3 linked regions of the Anolis sagrei genome follow. The protein of the gene in region 1 interacts with the protein of each later gene in a pairwise test. Links are inferred from orthologs where the notes say so. Each region holds a gene or a part of one and is shown in the gene's direction. Other genes may lie near its edges.

The links.
Region 2: the proteins of BHLHE40 (region 1) and STK19 interact in a two-hybrid assay, tested with the Homo sapiens proteins (2 studies listed by BioGRID). The two-hybrid records come from large-scale screens. The link is inferred for Anolis sagrei from reciprocal best matches to the Homo sapiens genes BHLHE40 and WHR1.
Region 3: the proteins of BHLHE40 (region 1) and NAA50 interact in binary tests that used the Homo sapiens proteins (3 or more experiments, as listed by UniProt). The two-hybrid records come from large-scale screens. The link is inferred for Anolis sagrei from reciprocal best matches to the Homo sapiens genes BHLHE40 and NAA50.

Annotation. Positions count from the first base shown.
Region 1 is NC_090022.1:46,308,600-46,315,535, forward strand, and holds the start of BHLHE40 (class E basic helix-loop-helix protein 40), read left to right. Parts: upstream 1-3,913; 5' UTR 3,914-4,327; coding exon 4,328-4,419; intron 4,420-4,924; coding exon 4,925-4,994; intron 4,995-6,372; coding exon 6,373-6,480; intron 6,481-6,936. UniProt on the Homo sapiens protein: Transcriptional repressor involved in the regulation of the circadian rhythm by negatively regulating the activity of the clock genes and clock-controlled genes.
Region 2 is NC_090022.1:18,154,339-18,161,632, reverse strand, and holds the start of STK19 (inactive serine/threonine-protein kinase 19), read left to right. Parts: upstream 1-4,287; 5' UTR 4,288-4,317; coding exon 4,318-4,318; intron 4,319-7,294. Other genes in the region: DXO (decapping and exoribonuclease protein), read right to left, coding at 3,855-3,869. UniProt on the Homo sapiens protein: DNA-binding protein which is required for efficient transcription-coupled nucleotide excision repair (TC-NER). Acts as part of a TC-NER complex which assembles and interacts with RNA polymerase II (RNAPII) when it stalls at DNA lesions.
Region 3 is NC_090022.1:165,332,964-165,340,370, reverse strand, and holds the start of NAA50 (N-alpha-acetyltransferase 50), read left to right. Parts: upstream 1-4,400; 5' UTR 4,401-4,552; coding exon 4,553-4,560; intron 4,561-7,407. UniProt on the Homo sapiens protein: N-alpha-acetyltransferase that acetylates the N-terminus of proteins that retain their initiating methionine. Has a broad substrate specificity: able to acetylate the initiator methionine of most peptides, except for those with a proline in second position.

The DNA of each region.
Region 1 (6,936 bases):
CTTACTGGTGCATTATTTAAACTGTTATTTATTCATATCATGATCTGATCACCATACTCAATATATACTCAATACAAGACAGAGGTACTCCTGGTCAGTCGCAGGGCCGAACAGGGTATAGGGCTACAGCCTGTGTTAGACGGGGTCGCACTCCCCCTGAAGACACAGGTTCGCAGTTTGGGTGTGATCCTGGATTCATCGCTGAGCCTGGATCCCCAGGTTTCGGCGGTGACCAGGGGAGCATTCGCACAGCTAAGACTCGTGCGCCAACTGCGACCGTACCTTGGGAAGTCTGACTTGGCCACGGTAGTCCACGCTCTGGTTACATCCCGCCTTGACTACTGCAACGCTCTCTACGTGGGGTTGCCTTTGAAGACGGCTCGGAAGCTCCAACTAGTCCAACGGGCGGCAGCCATGGTACTAACAGGAGCAGGGCGCAAGGAGCATACAACTCCTCTGCTGTACCAGCTCCACTGGCTGCCGATTAGCTACCGGGCCCAATTCAAAGTGCTGGCATTGGCCTTTAAAGCCCTAAACGGTTCTGGCCCAACATACCTATCCGAATGTATCTCGGCCTATCAGCCCACCAGGACCCTAAGATCTTCGGGAGAGGCCCTTCTCTCCATCCCGCCTGCTTCACAGGTGCGGCTGGCGGGTACGAGAGACAGGGCCTTTTCTGTGGTGGCCCCGCGGCTTTGGAATGCCCTCCCTATAGAGATAAAATCAGCCTCCTCGCTGATGGTATTTCGAAAAAAACTGAAAACATGGATGTTTGAGCAAGCATTTGGCTAATCCGATGCGATGAAGTTTTGACTAAGGACTGGCAATTACAGACAACGAATTTGGATTATGATTTTAATTTAAGAGATGCATTGGTCTGTATTGGTGGCCCAATACTGTGTATTGTATATATATGTGTTTTTATATTTTTTTATTCGGAATATTGTTTTATTGTTGTAAACCGCAATGAGTCGCCGTTCTAGGCTGAGATATTAGCGGTATACAAGTGTACTAAATAAATAAATAAAATAAATAAATATATCCCATATGCATGGGGGTATTGGGGTAATGATACAAAAGGTTTGCTAGGCTAGACCCTCTTTCACTCAGACTCAGCCCCCCCCCCCGAAACTCGCCCCCCCGAACCCCCCCCTGAAAAAATTTAGCCCCCTCCGAAATGAAATCCTGGCTACGGGCCTGTGGGGTTCAGAATGCTATTTGATTATCGGTGAACTATAAATCCCAGCAACTACAACTTCCAAATGACAAAATCATTTTTTTTAGTGAAGGACATACATTGAGTTATTAGGTGTCTTGTGTCCAATTTTGATGTCAATTCGTCCAGAAGTTTTTGAATTCTGTTAATCCCACAAACGAACATTCCATTTTTATTTATATAGAAAAGATAGAAGATATTACATGTAATATAAAAATATATAATTATATTATATATTTTATATTACATGTAATTATAATTATATTATATATTTATTAGTAGTAGTATTATATTGTATTACATTAGACACATCCATCGAGTCTTAGCATTGAGGGAAAACAAATGACTGCATGCCTGCTACTCTTTTTTGCAAGCAGGGCACAGCATAGCCTTGCGTACAAGTAAGAGAAGCAGCTGGGAGGCATTCTCCTGAAATCCCCTCTCCAGTGACAACGCCTGTGCGCATGCGTGGCTGCGTGATGGAGCGAGGGTGCCGCGGCTGCTTCTCCGGAACTCCAACGCGTTGGCTTTACTCCGAAGCCGCTCCTGGTCGGAAGTCCCCCTTTGGAGAGCTCCAGGCAGGGAAGGCAGGTTGAGCCTACTTTAAGTGCCACCGCTGTACCCTATGGAAGCCTGGGATCTGTCTTTGCCTGAAAGGGCTGGTGCCTCCTCCCCACACTAGAAACCCAAAAGCCAATGCCATTCTAGGCTGCCTCAAGAGGAGTCCAGTGTCAAGATCCAGGGAAGCCATAACCCCACCCTATTGGTCACAAAGCCCCCGGTGGCGCAGTGGGTTAAACCCTTGTGCCAGCAGGACTTAAGACCGACAGGTCGGGGGTTCGAATCTGGGGAGAGCCCGGATGAGCTCCCTCTGTCAGATCCAGCTCCCCATGTGGGGACATGAGAGAAGCCTTCCACAAGGATGGTAAAACATCAAAAACATCCGGGCGTTTCCTGGGCAACGTCCTTGAAGACGGCCAATACTCTCACACCAGAAGCGACTTGCAGTTTCCTGACACGAAAAAAACCTCACCTGGAATAAGACTGTGTCCATTTCTGGGCACTTCAGGATGTTGGCAGGGAAGGGTGACCACAATGAGCAAGGGTCCGAAAGCCAAGCCCAATGAGGAGTAGTTTAGGGAGCTGGGGGTGTGTAGCTTGCAGGAGAAAAGGCTGAGGGAAGGGGACATGACAGCCACCTTGGAATCAGTGAAAGGGTGCCACATTGGGGAGACTAGGACACCTTGGAGGAATGGATTCCAATGGCAGGAAAGGAGATTCCGTGTAAACGTTAGGACGAACTTTAGGAAGAACTACACTGCCTAGGAGTCGCCTTCTCTGGAGGTTTTCAAGCAAAGGCTGGATGGCCATCTGCAGGGAGTGCTTTGAATGCGATTTTCCTGTTTCTCGGTAGAGGTTTGGACCGGGTGGCCCATGAGGTCTCTTCCAACTCTATGATTCTATGATTCTGCTTTCCTTGCATGTCAAAGGCTTGGGCTGGATGTCCATCTGTCAGTGGTGCTTTCCCTGCGTGTCAGGGGGTTGAACGTTATGGCCATCCGCCGGGAGTACTTTGATTGTGCTTTCCCTGCGTGTCAGGATGTTAGACTAGATGTCCATCTTCAGGGAGTTCTTTGATTGTGGAAGAGACCTCATGGGCCATCCAGGCCAACCCCCTGCCAAGAAGCAGGAATATTGCATTCAAAGCACCCCTGACACATGGCCATCCAGCCTCTGTTTAAAACCTTCCAAAGAAGGAGCCTCCACCACACCACTCCGGGGCAGAGAGTTCCCTGCATGTCAGGGGGTTAGACCGGATGGCTATCTGCCGGGTGTGCTTTGATTGTGCCTTCCCCGCATGTCAGGAGGTTGAACTTAATGGCCATCCACCGGGAGTGTTTTTGTGCTTTCCCTGCACGTTGGGAGGTTAGACTGGATGTCCATCTGTAGAGAGTGCTTTGATTGTGCTTTCCTTGCATGTCAGGAGGTTAGACTGGATGGCTATCTGACGAGGGTGCTTCGATTGTGTCTTCCCTGCGTGTCAGGGGGTTGAACTTTATGGCCATCCACCGGGAGTGCTTTGATTGTGCTTTCCCTGCATGTTGGGAGGTTAGACTGGATGTCTATCTGCCGGGAGTACTTTGATTGTGCTTTCCCTGTCTGTTAGGGGGTTGAACTTTATGACCATCTGCCGGGAGTGCTTGGATTGTGCCTTTCCTGCATGTCAGAAGGTTGTAGTGGATGCCCATCTGTCGGGAGTGCTTAGACAGTCCCTTTCGCTGTGTGTCAGGAAGTTGGGCTGGGTGGTCCTTTGTGGGAGGCGCCTTGAATGTGCTTTCCTTGCATGCCAAGGGGTCAGACTGGATGGCCCTTGGGGGGGGGGGAGGATGTCTTCCAAGTCGAGGGTCCTCCCTGGAGTTTGGCCAGGGCTTTCTTCATGCGATGGGATAAGCGGAGCAGTTGCAGTGGGGCCAGGCCTTCCTCCTCCTCCTCCTCCTCCTCCTCCGGGGCCCTCCCAGGGCAGCCCTGGGTCACGTTTGCAGAGGCGGCGGCAGGGAAGCTCCTGGCCACAGCGGAGGGAGGGAGGGAGGCCGGAGCGTTGTCCGACACGTGAGGCTCATGTGATGAGGAGGGAGGCGAGGAGGGAGGCGGGGAGGGACGGGGGGGGGGCAGAGGAAGGGAGAAGAGGCAGGCCCGCTCCTCCTCCTCCTCTCCTCTCCTCTCCTCCCTCCCTCTCCGGCTTCAGAAGCAGCCGCGGCCAGACGTGCCTGAAGTCAGTCACAGGGCGGATCGGATCGCTCTGTCCTCCGTCCGCACCGAAGGAGGAGAAAGAGGCGCTGCAGAGACGCGCCGCAAAGGCTCTCCCACCTGAAGCACAGACAGAACTCGCCTCTCCTTTTGACCCAGAGAGAGAGAGAGAGAGGAGAACCACCAGAGGAGAAAGTCCTGTTAGGAAAAAAAGGAAAGCCGACTCAGAGAGAGAGAGACCCAAAGCGGGATCTTGGAGACTTCGGCTCCATCCTTAGAGGAAAACAGCTCACCGGAGGGAGAAGGATAGGAAGGAAGGAGAGGCAACCTTAAGAAGAGGAAGGAGAAGCCACCCAGTTGGCCATGGAAAGGATCCCCAGCGCCCAACCTCCTCCTCCTCCAGCACCGCCTTGCTTGGGCAAGCTGGCCACGTTGGAGGGCAACGAGATGCCAGGGTAAGCTCTCTATCTATCTATCTATCTATCTATCTATCTATCTATCTATCTATCTATCTGTGTGGGATTGAAATCGCTTTCCAACCAGGTTCCTCTTGGGTTGGGATGGTGCTTCCCTTGGCTACCTCTGCTCTCACTTTCTGCACCTGGGACAAGCAGTACACCTCTCAATTTCCTCTCCCTTGTTTTCCTTCTCTCCAAACTTTTCTATAGCTTAGCCCTCTTTCTTCTCACTCTACTGTGTCTACGCTTTAGAGTTAATGCAGTTTATCACCACTTTGACCTGCCCAGGTCTCAATGCTATGGAGGTGGCAGTACAACTCCAGCCCCCTTTATTCCCGAGCACTGAGCCAAGTGGCGTTGAACTGCATTCATTTGAACTGCATTCATTCCGCAGTGTAGATGCTACTTCTGTAGGTTTTGGAGAGGGATGGGGAGGATTGACTACCTTCCTGGATTATTCTTGCAAGTCATTTACATCTTTCTCCTTTTGGCTCATCAACAGGTTGGACTTTGCTCACATGTACCAAGTTTATAAACCCAGGAGAGGGTTAAAAAGAGGCGAAGACAGCAAGGTAAATACAGAACATTCGTAGCATTTTTCTTATTTATTTATTATTTACTGACTAGTATTTTCTTAGCGTCCTCAGTGAATAGTTTTCACCCAATGTGTTGTTGAAGGATTTCACAGCTGGAATCATTGAATTGTTGAGAGTTTTCCAGGCTATATGGCCATGTTCCAGAAGCATTCTCTCCCGACATTTCGCCTGCATCTATGGCAGTCATCCTCAGAGGTTGAGACCCCTCAACCTTTGAGGAAGGCTGCCATAGATGTGGGAAAAACATCAGGAGAGAATGATTCTGGAACACAGCCATGCAGCCCAGAAAACTCAACAGCAACTCAATTTTGACCCAGTTTCGTTCTGAGATTAAGTAATGGTCTTCCCAAACATATACAAAAGAGCATTCATTTTCAATGGCCCCTCAAAATTTGTTTTTGGAGACTCTATTTGTGGGGTGGAGGGTATTCATTTTTCCAAAAATGTTATTATGCTCATGGATTTGCCTTATCATGCAGCAAAACAATATCTTCATATGTTGTCGAAGGCTTTCATGGCCGGAATCACTGAGTTGCTGTAAGTTTTCCGGGCTGTATGGCTATTTTCCAGGAGCATTCTCTCCTGACATTTCACCCACATCTATGGCAGGCATCCTCAGATGTTGTGTGGTTTGTCAAAGACAAGGTAAGCAAGGTTTTTATATCTCTGGAATAGCATCCAGGGTAGGAGAAAGAACTCTTGTCTGTTTGAGGCAAGATGAGGCATGTTGCAATTGATCACCCTGATTAGCATTGAATAGCCTTGCAGCTTCAAAGCTTGGCTGCTTCCTACCTGGGGGAATCCTTTGTTGGGAGGTGATTAATTGCCCCTGATTGATTCTTGTCTGGAATTCCCCTGTTTTTGAGTGTTGATCCCCAGGCAGCAATCAGCCAGGCTTTGAAGCTACAAGGCTTTTCAGTGCTAATCAAGGTGGCCAATTGCAACATTCACACTTGCCTCAAACGACAAGAATTCTTTCTCCCACCCTGGACGTTATTCCACAGATATAAACCTGACTTTCTTAGTTTTCAATAGATTTCTCAACCTCTGAAAATTCCTGCCATAGATGTGGGCAAAATGTCAGGAGAGAATGCTTCTGGAACATGGCCATACAGCCCAGGAAACTCACTTCATAGTTGCATCAGATAATTTTCTGGAGATGATCAAAATACATCATCTGCAATAAACTTTGGGTTTGGTAATGCTGTTTTTTAAAAAACAAAAAAAAATGATCTAAGAAAATGTTTATAATTTTTTCCAATCTATTTGGACAGATAATACTATGCTCAGAAATCACTTTTCCTCTCAACTGATGAAATGGTTGTATAATTTTTTGGTACCTGTTGATTTTTAGGAGACCTACAAGTTACCCCACCGGCTGATTGAAAAGAAAAGACGAGATCGGATTAATGAATGCATTGCCCAGCTGAAAGATCTGTTACCAGAACATCTCAAACTTACAGTAAGTGAAAATCTGGCCACTGCCCAGAGACTTCTTCCTTCTGCGTTGGGCATTGGGTTGGCTTTGCAGGGCTTTTTGTGCAGGTAAAGTTGCCATCTAGAGGTTTCCTGAAGCAGTGCAGGTGTGAACGGGGAGAGAGAGTTGTCTTGTCTCGGGTTGGATTGCTTCCTTGAGCTTCCTGATAGGACTTGGTTTTGTTGCTAAGTTCATGAACCTCTGGATCGGATTGGATTTGAAGATGCAACAGGATAAGTCAAATGATTTGTTAGGGAGAGTGCATTTTGGTTTTTCTTCCCTGTTTTCCTGGTGGCAAACTTTTAAGTTAACAAAAGATTCATTTGCAGTGTAAAATTAATGCAATCTGGCTACCAACACTGCAAAACTCTAAAATCAGGACAGTAAATAAAGAATAACACTCAAAAACAGGGGAATTTCAGACAAGAAACAATCAGGGCC
Region 2 (7,294 bases), about 28 Mb from region 1:
TATTTTAAATATGAAGTGTTTTCAACACAGTGAATCGCAGTGCTCTCTGGACCATCCTCCAAAATTCCTGCGGCTCCTCCATGATGACATGATACCAATAGTCTTGGACAGCAATAGCTCCCAAAGTGACCCATTTAAGGTGGAATCAGGTGTCAAACAGGGATGTGTTATTGCCCCAACCTTATTTTCCATCTTCATCGCTATGATACTGCACCTTGTTGATGGGAAGCTTCCCAGCAGAGTGGATACTATCCATCGGACAGACGGCAAGCTATTTAACCTCAGCAGACTGAAACCCGAAACCAAGGTCACAACAGCATCTGATATAGAACTCCAATATGCTGATGATAATGTAGTGCTCATTCAGAAGAAGACCTACAAGCCACACTAAAAACCTATGCAGAAGTATACAACAAAGGAACCCCCGGTGGCACAGTGGGTTAAGCCCCTGTGTCAGCAGGACTTAAGACCGACAGGTCGAAGGTTCAAATCCAGGGAGAGGCGGATGAGTTCCCCCTATCTGCTCCAGCTCCTCATGCGGGGACATAAGAGAAGCCTCCCACAAGGATGATAAAACATCAAATCATCCAGGCGTCCCCTGGGCACCATCCTTGCAGATGGCCAATTCTCTCACACGAGAAGCGACTTGCAATTTCTCAAGTCACGACAAAAAAAAAAAAGTATACAAAAAGTTTGGCCTCTCACTGAACATCCAGAAAACCAAGGTACTCTTTCAGCAGGTATCAGCCAATTCTTCTGCAATGCCAGAAATGCAATTTAATTGATGTCTCTGTTGTTGTTCATTCGTTCAGTCGTCTCCGACTCTTTGTGACCTCATGGACCAGCCCACGCCAGAGTTCCCTGTCGGCCGTCACCACTCCCAGCTCCTTCAAGGTCAAGCCAGTCACTTCAAGGACACCATCCATCTTGCCCTTGGTTGGCTTCTCTTCCTTTTTCCTTCCATTTTCCCCAGCATCATACTCTTCTCTAAACTTTCCTGTCTCCTCATGATGTGGCCAAAGTACTTCACCTTTGTCTCTAGTATCCTTCCCTCCAGTGAGCAGTCGGTCTTTATTTCCTGGAGGATGGACTGGCTGGATCTTCTCGCAGTCCAAGGCACTCTCAGCACTTTCCTCCAACACCACAGCTCAAAAGCATCGATCTTCCTTCGCTCAGCCTTCCCTAAGGTCCAACTCTCACATCCGTAGGTTACTACGGGGAATACCATTGCTTTGACTATGCAGATCTTCGTTGCCAATGTGATGTCTACTCTTCACTATTTTGTCGAGAGTGGTCATTGCTCTCCTCCCAAGAAGTAAGCGTCTTCTGATTTCCTGGCCACAGTCTGCATCTGCAGTAATCTTTGCGCTTAGAAATACAAAGTCTGTCACGGCCTCCACATTTTCTCCCTCTATTTTCCAGTTGTCAATCATTCTTGTTGCCATAATCTTGGTTTTTTTGATGTTTAGCTGCAACCCAGCTTTTGCGCTTTCTTCTTTCACCTTGATTAGAAGGCTCCTCAGCTCCTCCTCGCTTTCGGCCATCAGAGTGGTGTCATCTGCATATCTGAGGTTGTTAATGTTTCTTCCGGCAATTTTCACCCCAGCTTTGCATTCATCAAGCCCCGCACATCGCATGATGTGTTCTGCATACAAGTTAAAAAGGTTGGGTGAGAGTATGCAGCCTTGCCATACGCCTTTCCCAATCTTGAACCAGTCTGTTGTTCCGTGGTCAGTTCTGACTGTTGCTACTTGGTCCTTGTACAGATTCCTCAGGAGAGAGACAAGGTGGCTTGGTATGCCCATCCCACCAAGAACTTGCCACAGTTTATTATGATCCACACAGTCAAAGGCTTTAGAATAGTCAATGAAGCAGAAATAGATGTTTTTCTGAAACTCCCTGCCTTTCTCCATTATCCAGCGGATATTGGCAATCTGGTCTCTCGTTCCTCTGCCTTTTCTAAACCCAGCTTGAACATCTGGCAACTCTCGCTCCATGTATTGCTGGAGTCTTCCTTGCAGGATCTTGAGCATTACCTTACTGGCATGTGAAATAAGTGCCACTGTACGAAAGTTTGAGCAGTCTTTCGCATTTCCCTTTTTTGGTGTGGGGATATAAGTTGATTTTTTCCAACTCGGATAGTCATTCTTGTGTTTTCCATATTTGCTGGCATATGGCATGCATCAACTTGACAGCATCATCTTTCAAGATTTTGAACAGTTCAGCTGGGATCCTGTCATCTCCTGCTGCCTTGTTGTTAGCAATGCTTCTTAAGGTCCTTTCAACCTCACTCCTCAGGATTTCTGGTTCTAATTCATTCACCACACTGTCAAAACTATCCTCAATATTATTATCCATCCATACAAAGGGCATTTGATCTATGTTAATTTATTAATATCTGTTTGTTTGTATTTTATTCTGTACAATTTCGCTATGTAAATCGCCTAGAGCATCTCGGATGGAGGGCGATTAATAAGTAATTAAAGATGATTAATAAGTAATTAAAGAAGAGAAGGCTGAGAGGAGACATGATAGCCATGTATTATTATTATTATTATTATTATACTTTATTTGTACCCCGCTAGCATCTCCTGAAGGACTCGATGCGGCTTACAAAGGCCAAGGCCTCAACACAACAACAACAGACAATAACAATACAATACAAAGCAAATTAAAAAACATAAAGCAATAACAAAAACATTACACTATTACGCAACAAACCAGGGCCGGGCCAATGATGGGTACAGGTTAAAAGTGCTGGGTGTGAGAGGTGATATGTTGGGATTCTGGGCAAGTGCAATGTGCAGAGAGTCTTAAACTCTAAGAAAGTGCTTCTGGAACGTAGTGCTGGGGTTATCCTATTCTGGAAAGGCACATCGGAATAGCCAGGTCTTCAAGTTCTTCCTAAAGACTGCCAATGTGGGTGCTCCCACGTTGGGGAGGGGAGATCATAGGGAGGAGGGATCAAGCTTGTTTTCTGCTTCCCTGGAGGGTAGGACGCAGAACAATGGCTTCAAACTACAAGAAAGGAGATTCCATCTGAACATTAGGAAGAACTTTCTGACTGTGAGAGCCGTTCAGCAGTGGAACTCTCTGCCCCAGAGTGTGGTGGAGGCTCCTTCTTTGGAAGCTTTTAAACAGAGCCTGGATGGCCATCTGTCAGTGGTGTTTTGAATGCAATTTTCCTGCTTCTTGGCAGAATGGGGTTGGACTGGATGGCCCATGAAGTCTCTTCCAACTCTAGGATTCTATAATTCTATAAGTTCTCTTCCAACTCTATGATTCTATGATTTTAAGTCCCGCACATCGCATGATGTGTTTGCATACAAGTTGAATAGGTTGGGTGAGAGTATCCAACCCTGACATACACCTTTCCCAATCTTGAACCAGTCTGTTGTTCCATGGTCACTTCTTACTCTTGCCATTTGGTCCTTATACAGATTCCTCAGGAGAGAGACAAGCCATCCAGTCCAACCCCATTCTGCCAAGAAGGTGGCTTGGGATGCCCATCCCGCCAAGAACTTGCCACAATTTATTATGATCCACACAGTCAAAGGCTTTAGAGTAGTCAATGAAGCAGAAGTAGATGTTTTTCTGAAACTCCCTGCCTTTCTCCATTATCCAGCAATTTGGCCTCTGGTATCTCTGCCTTTTCTAAATATATTTGTGAATATCTTAGTATTGTTATTATTACTGCGAATCCTATTGTTCTTATTATCAACAACAATAATACTAATAGAGCCTAGGCAGCAGCAGCAGCAGCAGCACCCACTGGGGAGGATTCAGGTCACAAAACCAAAAGAAGCAAAACCTCTTCGCTTTCTGTTCTGACCCTTCCCGGCACTTGTACTGACCTGCTCTGACGTCATCGCAGGGCAGCCAATCGCTCGCCTCCCAGAGGACCGAGGGAACGCGAGGCCAAGCTGCCTGGTTTCCTTTCACGCTCCCCTCCTTTCAGCCATTTACTCACACGCCCGACATCTTGACCCAAAACAACGCCAGGTTTCGTTTCTTGGCGGCAGCGACGGCGTGATGACGCCATCCCCAGCCGCCGCTCGGAAGCTTCGTGCCCTTTCCTAGCTTGCCTTTACCAAAGATGGCGGCAGGAAAGCCCATTGGCCGGCTCAAACTGTCAATCACGCCTTTTCGCCCAATGAGGGGCGAGTATGCAAATAAGGCCCCGGGCCTGGAGAACAGCGTGACGTCATGGCAAAAAGAGGAGGAAGAGGGCAGCTGAGGAAGGAGGGTGTGATGTGTGGCTGAATCTCCCTAAGCAGGGCCAGCCCTGGTGAGTATTTGGGTGGGAGACCGGAACTTAGTAAGTATTCATTCCTTGTGGGTTTTTTCAGGCTATATGGCCATGTTCTAGAGGCATTTTCTCCTGACGTTTCGCCTGCATCTATGGCAAGCATCCTCAGAGGTAGTGAGGTCTGTTGAAACTAGGAAAATGAGTTTATCTGTGGAATGACCAGGGTGGGACAAGGAACTCTTGTCTGCAGGAGCTAGGTGAGAATGTTTCAACTGACCACCTTGATTTGCATTTAATGGCTTGGAAGTGCCTGGGGGGAATCTTTTTTTGAGAGTTGATTAAAAGGTAAAGGTTTCCTTTGACATTAAGTGTAGTTGTGTCCGACTTGGGGTGTGTGTGTGTGTGTGTGTGTGTGTGCTGATCTGTATTTCTAAGCCAAAGAGCCAGCATTGTCCGTAGACACCTACAAGGTCATATGGCCAGCATGACTGCATGAACGGTTTGGGACCAGCCTACCTGTGTGACCGCATTTCCATCTACGAACCCACGCGTTCTCTTCGGTCATCTGGAGAGGCCCTACTCGTGATCCCACCGGCGTTGCAAGCGCGCTTGGTGGGGACGCGGGACAGGGCCTTTTCCGTAGTGGCCCCCCAACTCTGGAACACCCTCCCCAAAGACCTTAGACAGGCCTCTTCTTTGGCTATCTTCAGAAAGAACTTAAAAACCTGGCTTTTTCGATGCGCCTTCCCAAATTAGGAAATCTCCATTACCGAGTCCTACAAACACTTTACCAGAACCAATGATTGCTGCACACCGCACATCGCACTTGCCCTAGAAACCCTTTATACACCTCCTGTCAATTCAGCACTTTTAATCCTTGTACCCACTTTTTTGGCCCGGCCCAGTTTTATTGTGTTTTAATGTACTGTGCCTGTTGTTTACTTTGCTTTATTTTGTTTTAATTGTTTGATTTGCTTGATTGTGTTGTTATGTTGTGTTGTTGAGGCCTCGGCCTGTGTAAGCCGCATCGAATCCTTTGGGAGATGCTAGCGGGGTACAAATAAAGTTTAATAATAATAATAATAATAATAATAATGAAGCACTGTTACCTTCCTGTAGAAGCAGTACATATTGATCTACTCACATTTGCAAGTTTTCGAACTGCAGAAGCTGGGGCTAACAACGGGAGCTCATGCCACTCCCCAGATTCGAACCGCCAACCTTTTGGACAGCAAGTTCAGCAGCTCAGTGGTTTAACCTGCTGTAATACTGGGGAGAGGGCGTGGATAGATAGATAGATAGCTTTGGATAACATAGAATCATAGAATCAAAGAGTTGGAAGAGACCTCATGGGCCATCCAGTCCAACCCCCTGCCAAGAAGCAGGAATATTGCATTCAAATCACCCCTGACAGATGGCCATCCAGCCTCTGTTTAAAAGCTTCCAAAAAAGGAGCCTTCACCACACTCCGGGGCAGAGAGTTCCACTGCTGAACGGCTCTCACAGTCAGGAAGTTCTTTCTCATGTTCAGATGAAATCTCCTTTCTTGTAGTTTGAAGCCATTGTTCCGCGTCCTAGTCTCCAGGGAAGCAGAAAACAAACTTGCTCCCTCCATAGGGAAGGTTTACCACCCCTGTGGTGTTTGTTTTCTTGTCCGTGCCCCTCTTCAGAAGATTTCATTTCTCTTTCTGTCATTGGGACCACTGGATTTTGAAAAAAAAAATGGCTTGTTGTGGAAACAAGGATTGGTGCTAAAGTTCCAGTGGAGACATCTTTTCCACATGATAATAACTCTTCCCAGAGTGAATTTTGCTTCCTAGTAGTAGATTAATTTCACTTCCTGTTGTCTCACCCCCATTCTTAACTATGAGCCGTTTCTAAGCCAGATGTTTGTAACTCAGGAATGGACAGTATATCAAGGAAGGGGGAATTCTATAAATCAGGTAAAATAAGAAACAGCAACACCGAATCTGAACTAATCCTAAGAAGACAAATCCCTATTTGATCTAATTGCTATAGGTGTGATGCTCATCCTTCTTGTTTGACTAGTTCCCTATCCTGGCATACACAAAACATTGAGGAGCTGCAGTTCTTCCTGGCATAGTAATGTAGCCATAAGGAAATGCGGCAATTTTGTGCTTAATTGTAGAGTTGGGAGAGACACGATCTAGTCCAACCTCATTTTGCGAGGCAGGAATGCATACACAGTCATACCATTCCCAGAAGATGTCAATCCCATCCTGAAAATTATTATCATGGGGAAAAGGTCTCTCCACAAAAGGTTTATCACCAATCCTTGCTTCCACAACAAGCCAAATTCTCAAAATCCCATTTTCACAGGGACAGAAAGTGAGTTGAAATTTTCTGACCAGGGGCACAGACATCAAAACATACAACTTATATATTACCTATCCAACGCTCATAATAATTAATAATAAATTTCTATCTCCCACGGGGGACTCAGGGCAGTTTATACATACAAAGACAAATATTCAGTGCCTGGCACACACACACACAATTCTATCTATCTACCTATGGATATAATTTTATTTATTTATGATATTTCTATCCCGCCTTTCTCGAACCTGAAGGTGACTCAAGGCAGCTTACAACTTGGCTGGAGTTAAAAATGCACCTGTTCCGACTTGCAAATATAATCAACTAAAGAACAAACCTACAGAACCTCTCATTCATAAATTGGGGACTGCCTATATTTTAAAACAAATGTATGATAGATTTGCGTGAGACATGTTATGTCCCCTTTACATTTCGTAACAGGAGAGTTTTGCTTATCCAACCTTCTCTTATCCAACTTTCTATATTATCCAACACAGTCTGCCGCTCACCCAGATCCACAGCTATTTCAATACATTGCGATGTTTTGGGGCTAAATTCATAAATGCATTAATTACTATATAACGTTACCGTGTATTGAGCTGCCTTTTCTGTTGGTTTGTTGTAAAACATGATATTTTGATGCTTAATTTGTAAAATCATAACATAATTTGACATTTAATAGGCTTTTCCTTAATCCCTCCTTATTAT
Region 3 (7,407 bases), about 120 Mb from region 1:
GAGGGTCCAGGCCGAGGGGAAGGGCGTCCCGGGGCCTCACCTGGGATACAGGACAGAGCTGTGGCGCCTCCGGAAGCAGCTGGCTCCTTCGCTTCCTTCAACGCCGCAGGAGGAAGGTGAATGCGTCTGCCACCCCCGGGAATCTAGTGCGCATGCGCTTAACCAAGTGCACTTCCTCTTCCGCCTCGTCCGACGTTCTGCAGACTTTCCGTGCATAAGGAGTGAGTCAGGAAGCAGAGCTCTGTTAGGGTCAGCCCCCCCCCCCACCTTTTCAGTCACGTGACGGGCTTGCCAGATAATAGATAGAGATTCCTTGTTGTGTCTGACCTATGGCAACCCTAAGATTACTCTTATCTAGAAATGAGTGAGTTGCCCAAGGTCGCTCAGGCCAGCAATCAGGAGGGTTAATGCAGCTGTACTTCACACCAGGGGCATAAATACTACTACTACTACTTCTACTACTACTCATCATCATCATCATCATTATATAAATAAAAATGTAATGTTCGTTTGTGGGATGAACAAAACTCAAAAACCAGTGGGCCGATTGACACCAAATTTGGACAGCATACACCTAACAACCCAAACTATGTTCTTCACTCAATTTTTTTTAATTTTGTCATTTGGGAGATGTAGTTGCTGGGATTTATATTTCACCTACAATCAAAGAGCATTCTGAACTCCACCAATGATGGAATTGGACTAAACTTAGCACACAGGGCTCCCATGACCAACAGAAATAAAACTGGAAGGATTTGGTGGACATTGACCTTGAGTCTGGGAATTGTAGTTCACCCACATCCAGAGAGCACTGTGGACTCAAACAATGATAGATCTGGACCAAATTTGGCACAAATATTCCATATGCCCAAATATGAACACAGATGGAGTTTGGGGGAAATAGACCTTGACATTTGGGAGTTGTAGTTGCTGGGATTTATAGTTCACCTACAATCAAAGAGCATTCTGAACTCCACCAATGATGGAATTGAACCAAACTTGGCAGATAGGACTCCCAGCCATAGATATAGATAGATAGATAGATAGATAGATAGATAGATAGATATGATTCTCACACACACACACAGATATAGTATCATAGATTTGAAAGAGACCCCTAGAGAAGGACTATGATATGTTGCATGTTCCAGGGTGGGCAAACCAGACACTCTCCACATCAACACTGACAAAGAAACAACAAGAAATACTGTTTACTCACAAGCCTAAAAGAATTACATATATTAGAAACTAATACTTTCTAATTACTTTATTTTCCAGATCACCAGACTGGGCCACAGCAACGCGTGGCAGGGGACAGCTAGTAAATAATAATAATAAACTTTATTTATACCCCGCCACCATCTCCCCGATGGGGACTCGAAGCGGCTTACATGGGGCCAAACCCGAACAACATATTGTTGTTCATTCGTTCAGTCGTTTCCAACTCTTCGTGACCTCATGGACCAGTCCACGCCAGAGCTCCCTGTCGGCCGTCACCATCCCCAGCTCCTTCAAGGTCAATCCAGTCACTTCAAGGATACCATCCATCCATCTTGCCCTTGGTCGGCCCATCTTCCTTTTTTCTTCCATTTTCCCCAGCATCATTGTCTTCTCTAAGCTTTCCCATCTTCTCATGATGTGGCCAAATTACTTCATCTTGGCCTCTAATATCCTTCCCTCCAATGAGCAGTCGGGGTTTATTTCCTGAAGTATGGACTGGTTGGATCTTCTCGCAGCCCAAGGCACTCTCAGCACTTTTCTCCAACACCACAGTTCGAAAGCATCTGTCTTCCTTCGCTCAGCCTTCCCTATGGTGCAGCTCTCAAATCTGTAGATGTCTACAGGGAATACCATTGCTTTGACTATGCGGATCTTTGTTGGCAGTGTGATGTTTCTACTCTTCACTATTTTATCGAGATTCACCATTGCTCTCCTCCCAAGAAGTAAGTGTCTCCTGATTTCCTGGCTGCAGTCTGTGTCTGTAGTAATCTTTTCACCTAGAAATACAAAGTCTGTCACGGCCTCCACGTTTTCTCCCTCTACTTTCCAGTTGTCAATCATTCTTGTTGCCATAATCTTGGTTTTTATTATGTTTAACTGCAACCCAGCTTTTGCACTTTCTTCTTTCACCTTGATCAGAAGGCTCCTCAGCTCCTCCTCGCTTTTGGCCATCAAAGTGGTGTCATCTGCATATCTAAGGTTGTTAATGTTTCTTCCAGGATTTTCACCCCAGCCTTGCATTCCTCAAGCCCCACACATCGCATGATGTGTTCTACATACAAGTTGAATAGTTTGGGGGAGAGTATACAGCCCTGTCATACGCCTTTCCCAATCTTGAACCAGTCTGTTGTTCCATAGTCAGTTCTTACTGTTGCTACTTGGTCCTTATATAGATTCCTCAGGAGATAGACAAGGTGATTTGGTATGCCCATTCCACCAAGAACTTGCCACAATTTATTATGATCCACACAGTCAAAGTCTTTAGAATAGTCAATAAAACAGAAATAGATGTTTTTCTGAAACTTCCTGCCTTTCTCCATTATCCAGCGGATATTGGCAATTTGGTCTCTCGTTCCTCTGCCTTTTCTAAACCCAGCTTGAACATCTGGCAACTCTCTCTCCATGTATTGCCGGAGTCTTCCTTGCAGGATCTTGAGCATTACCTTACTGGCATGAGAAATAAGGGCCACTGTACGGAAGTTTGAGCAGTCTTTCGCATTTCCCTTTTTTGGTATGGGGATATAAGTTGATTTTTTCCAGTCTGATGGCCAACAACATTGCCATCAACAACAACAACATATTACATCAAGATAAAACCAAAACATAAACAAGCAACATCATCAAAATTACATTAAAAATTAAATAACAAAATAGCATTACAATCAACAAAAAGCACAGACATAGTAAACAGTGGACGGGCCACTTGTACAGGCTAAAATGTTAAAAACTATAATGAGATAAAAATAGGAGCAAGTTATTTGCCAGGTGCTCATAAAGATACACAGGGTTGTGAAACCAAACTTCCCATTTGGAGGGGGGGGGGCTGTATTTCAGTGACAGAAGCGTTGAGGGGAAGCGTTGATAAAGCTGCAGAATTCTGGGGAACGTAGTTTAGGATGTTGCAATTTTAGAATTTTTTAATACTGGTAGCCAGATCTTGTTCATTTTCATGGTTTCTTCCTTTCTGTTGAAATTGTCCACATGTTTGTGGATTTCAGTGGCTTCTCTGTGTAGTCTGACATGGTAGTTGTGAGAGTGGTCCAGCATTTCTGTGTTCTCAAGTAATATATTGTGTCCAGGTTGGTTCATCAGGTACTCTGCTATGGCTGACTTCTCTGGTTGAAGTAGTCTGCAGTGCCTTTCATGTTCCTGGATTCTTGTTTGGGCAATGCTGCGTTTGGTGGTCCCTATGTAGACTTGTCCACAGCTGCATGGTATACGGTAGACTCCTGCAGAGGTGAGAGGATCCCTCTTGTCCTTTGCTGAACGTAGCATTTGTTGGATTTTCTTGGTGGGTTTGTAGATTGTTTGTATGTTGTGTTTCCTCATCACAAGTCTACATAGGGACCACCAAATGCAGCATTGCCCAGACACGCATCAAGGGACATGAAAGGCACTGCAGACTACTTCAACCAGAGAAGTCAGCCATAACAGAGCACCTGATGAACCAACCCGGACACAGCATTTTATTTGAGAACACAAAAATGCTGGACCACTCTCACAACCACCATGTCGGACTACACAGAGAAGCCACTGAAATCCACAAACATGTGGACAATTTCAACAGAAAGGAAGAAACCATGAAAATGAACAAGATCTGGCTACCAGTATTAAAAAATTCTAAAATTGCAACAGCAAAAACAGCAGAGAGAAAAACAGGCAGAGACATCTAATCACCTTTCAAGAAGAGTTTGCTCCAGGCACAGTCAGCCCATTGTATGCTAATCAAGGTGGTCAGTTGAAAGATTCACACCTAGCCCAACTTACAAAAGCCCTTTGTCTCACCCTGGTCATTCCACAAATATATAAACCCCCTTTTTTCCCTTTTTTCCAACAGACCTCACTACCTCTGAGGATGCTTGCCATAGATGCAGGCGAAACGTCAGGAGAAATGCCTCTAGAACATGGCCATATAGCCCGAAAAAACCCACAAGAACTGAGTGATTCCAGCCATGAAAGCCTTCGACAATACATATTAGGTTGTACTTTGGGGGACAGTGGGGGGCTCAGTACAAAGTAGCGAGAAGGAACAACACCGGCCCCCAGCGGAAGAGCTGTGGCTCTTTTGCGCATGTCGAGAGGACCAGGCCCCGCCCGCTTTCTTTGACAGGCCTCCCTCAGGAAAGCGCGCGGGAACACGGCCGGAAGTGCGCGCGCCGTCACGCCGACGTGAAAGGCAAAAGGTCGGCCAGAGGGGCGGGGCTCCGCGCGCGCACGCTCGCTGCCTGGCTCGCCCGCGCGGTCGGTCGGAGCGGCCTGAGGCCCATGTGGATCGACGGCGGAAGTCGCCCAACCGCCAGCCCCGAGTCGAGGTCTCCGGCCCCCGGCAGCTATGAAGGGGTGAGTGCGGCGCCGGCCGTCCCAACCAGCACCCGGCGGCGGCGGTGGTTGTGTGCCGTCCCCGCCCGTCTTCGGGAGTTGAGGCGAGGGGGCCCGCTCGTGTTGCCGGGCCTCGCGCAAAGACAGCGGGTGGGAAGAGGGGGGGAAGGAAGGCGCGGGAGGCCTGCGCGGAGGGGGGCCCTCGCGCCAGTGGAACACGCGGGAACGGTTTCCATAGTGGGCTTTCCCACACAGACATGTAACCCGCAATATCAAGGCAGGTAATCTATATAAATAAAAATGTAATGTTTGTTTGTGGGATTAACATAACTCAAAAACCACTGGACGAATTGACACCATATTTGGACACAAGACACCTAATAACCCAATGTATGTCCTTCACTCAAAAATTGATTTTGTCATTTGGGAATTGTAGTTGCTGGGATGTATAGTTCACCTACAATCAAAGAGCATTCTGAACCCCACCGACAATAGAGTTGAACCAAACTTGACACACACTTCTCCCATGACCGAGAGAAAATACTGGAAGGGTTTGGTGGGCAGTGTCCTTTGGTTTTGGAGTTGTAGTTCACCTACATCCAGAGAGCACTGTGGACTCAAACAATGATGGATCTGGACCAAACTCTACACGAATACTCAATATGCCCAAATGTGGAGTTTGGGGAAAATAGAATCTTGAAATTTGGGAGTTGTAGTTGCTGGGATTTATAGTTCACCTACAATCACAGAGCATTCTGAACCCCACCAACAATAGGATTGGGCCAAACCTTCCACACAGAACACCCATGACAACCAGAGTGGGCCACAGCAACGCGTGGCAGGGGACGGCTAGTAAATAAATCAAAATATAATGTTCGTTTGTGGGATTAACAGAACTCAAAAACCAATGGACGAATTGACAGCAAATTTGGACACAAGACACCTAACAACCCAATGTATGTCCTTCACTCAAAAAAATTGATTTTGTCATTTGGGAGTTGTAGTTGCTGGGATTAATATTTCACCTACAATCAAAGAGCATTCTGAACCCCATCAACGATGGAATTGAAACAAACTTGGCACACAGTTCTCCCATGACAAACAGAAAATACTGGAAGGGTTTGGTGGGCATTGGCCTTGTGTTTGGGAGTTGTAGTTCACCTACATTCAGAGAGCACTGTGGACTCAAACAATGTAGTTGTAGTTCACCAGAGAGCACAGCATGATGGATCTGGACCAAACTTCGCATGAATACTCAATATGCCCAAATGTGTACACTGGTGGAGTTTGGAGAAAATAGAATCTTGACATTTGGGAGTTGTAGTTGCTGGGATTTGTAGTTCACCTACAATCACAGAGCATTCTGAACCCCAGCAATGATCGATTTGGGCCAAACCTCCCACACAGAACTCCCGGAGTGGGCCACAGCTAGTCTTCTATATAAATAAAAATGTAACGTTCGTTTGTGGGGTTAACATAACTCAGAAACCACTGAACAAATTGACACCAAATTTGGATACAAGACACCTATCAGGCCAACGAGTTACCATCACATATAAAAACACTGAGAAACACAGCAGAAGGGACTTAAAAAGCAAAAAAAAAAAAAACCCCAAAGATATGCTGCAGCACATGGCAACCAAAACACACAATAGCATATCCACACACTCTTCCGGACTACGTCTCCCAGCATCCCCTAGACCAGGCCCTTTAGGAGAGGAGGAGGATCCAAATGCACTGCTTCCAAGATGCAAGCTTGCTTCTCCTTGGATTTCTTTGAGAGCATCCCTATTCCTGGACTGCAACTCCCAGCAATTCTCCAGATAAATAGATTAGATCCGTGGTTCTTAATCTGTGGGTCTGGAGATGTTTTGGCCTTCAACTCTTAGAAATTTAATTTAAATTTAAAACTTTATTTATACCCCACTACCATCTCCCCATGGGACTCAGTGTGGCTTACATGAGGCAGAGCCCACAATACAAACAATAACAATACAATACAAAGCAGTTAAAATAAATCTCATAACACAAAAAGCATAAACATTAAACAAAATACAGTGCACAATTCAAATATATGGCTGGGCCAAATGTAGTTAAAGTTTAAAAAATAATGCTAGGCATGAACAAGATACAAGAGGTAGGGCATTGACAGAAACATACAAGCAGTCCTAAATCGATATAAAGTGCTTTTGGGGGACATAATGCTAAGGGTTCATTATTTTGGGAAGGCACACTGGAACATCCACGTTTTCAAACTCCTCCTGAAGACTGCCAGAGATGGGGCATGCCTGATGTCCTTAGGGAGTGAGTTCCAGAGTCGAGGGGCCACCACCGAGAAGGCTCTCTCCCTCGTCCCCACCAATCGTGCTTGCGATGCAGGTGGAAGCGTGAGTAAGGCCTCTCCAGACGATTGAAGAGATTGTGTGGGTTTGTACACAGAAATGCGGTCACGCAGGTAGGCAGGTCCCAAACCATTCAGGGCTTTGTAGGTAAGAACCTGCACCTTGAATTGGGTCCGGAAGATAAATGGCAGCCACTGGAGCTCCTTAAACAGGAAGGTTGACCGCTCCCTGTAAGGGGCACCAGTTAACAACCTGGCCACTGCCCTAACAGCTGGTAAACTGGCTGGGATTTCTGGGAGTTGTAGGCCAAAACACCTGGGGACCCACTGGTTGAGAAACACTGGATTAGATAGAGGTAGGTAGGTAGATCAGAAGAACTGCTGGGAGTTGCAGTCCAAAAATAGGTAGAGAAGGAAGAAAGAAAAGGGGGGGGGGGAAGGGAAGAGGATGAGAAGGAAAGAGAATGAAAGAAAAAAAAGAAAAGGAAGGAGAGAAAGAAAGGAGGAGGGAAGGCTGGCCACAGCAA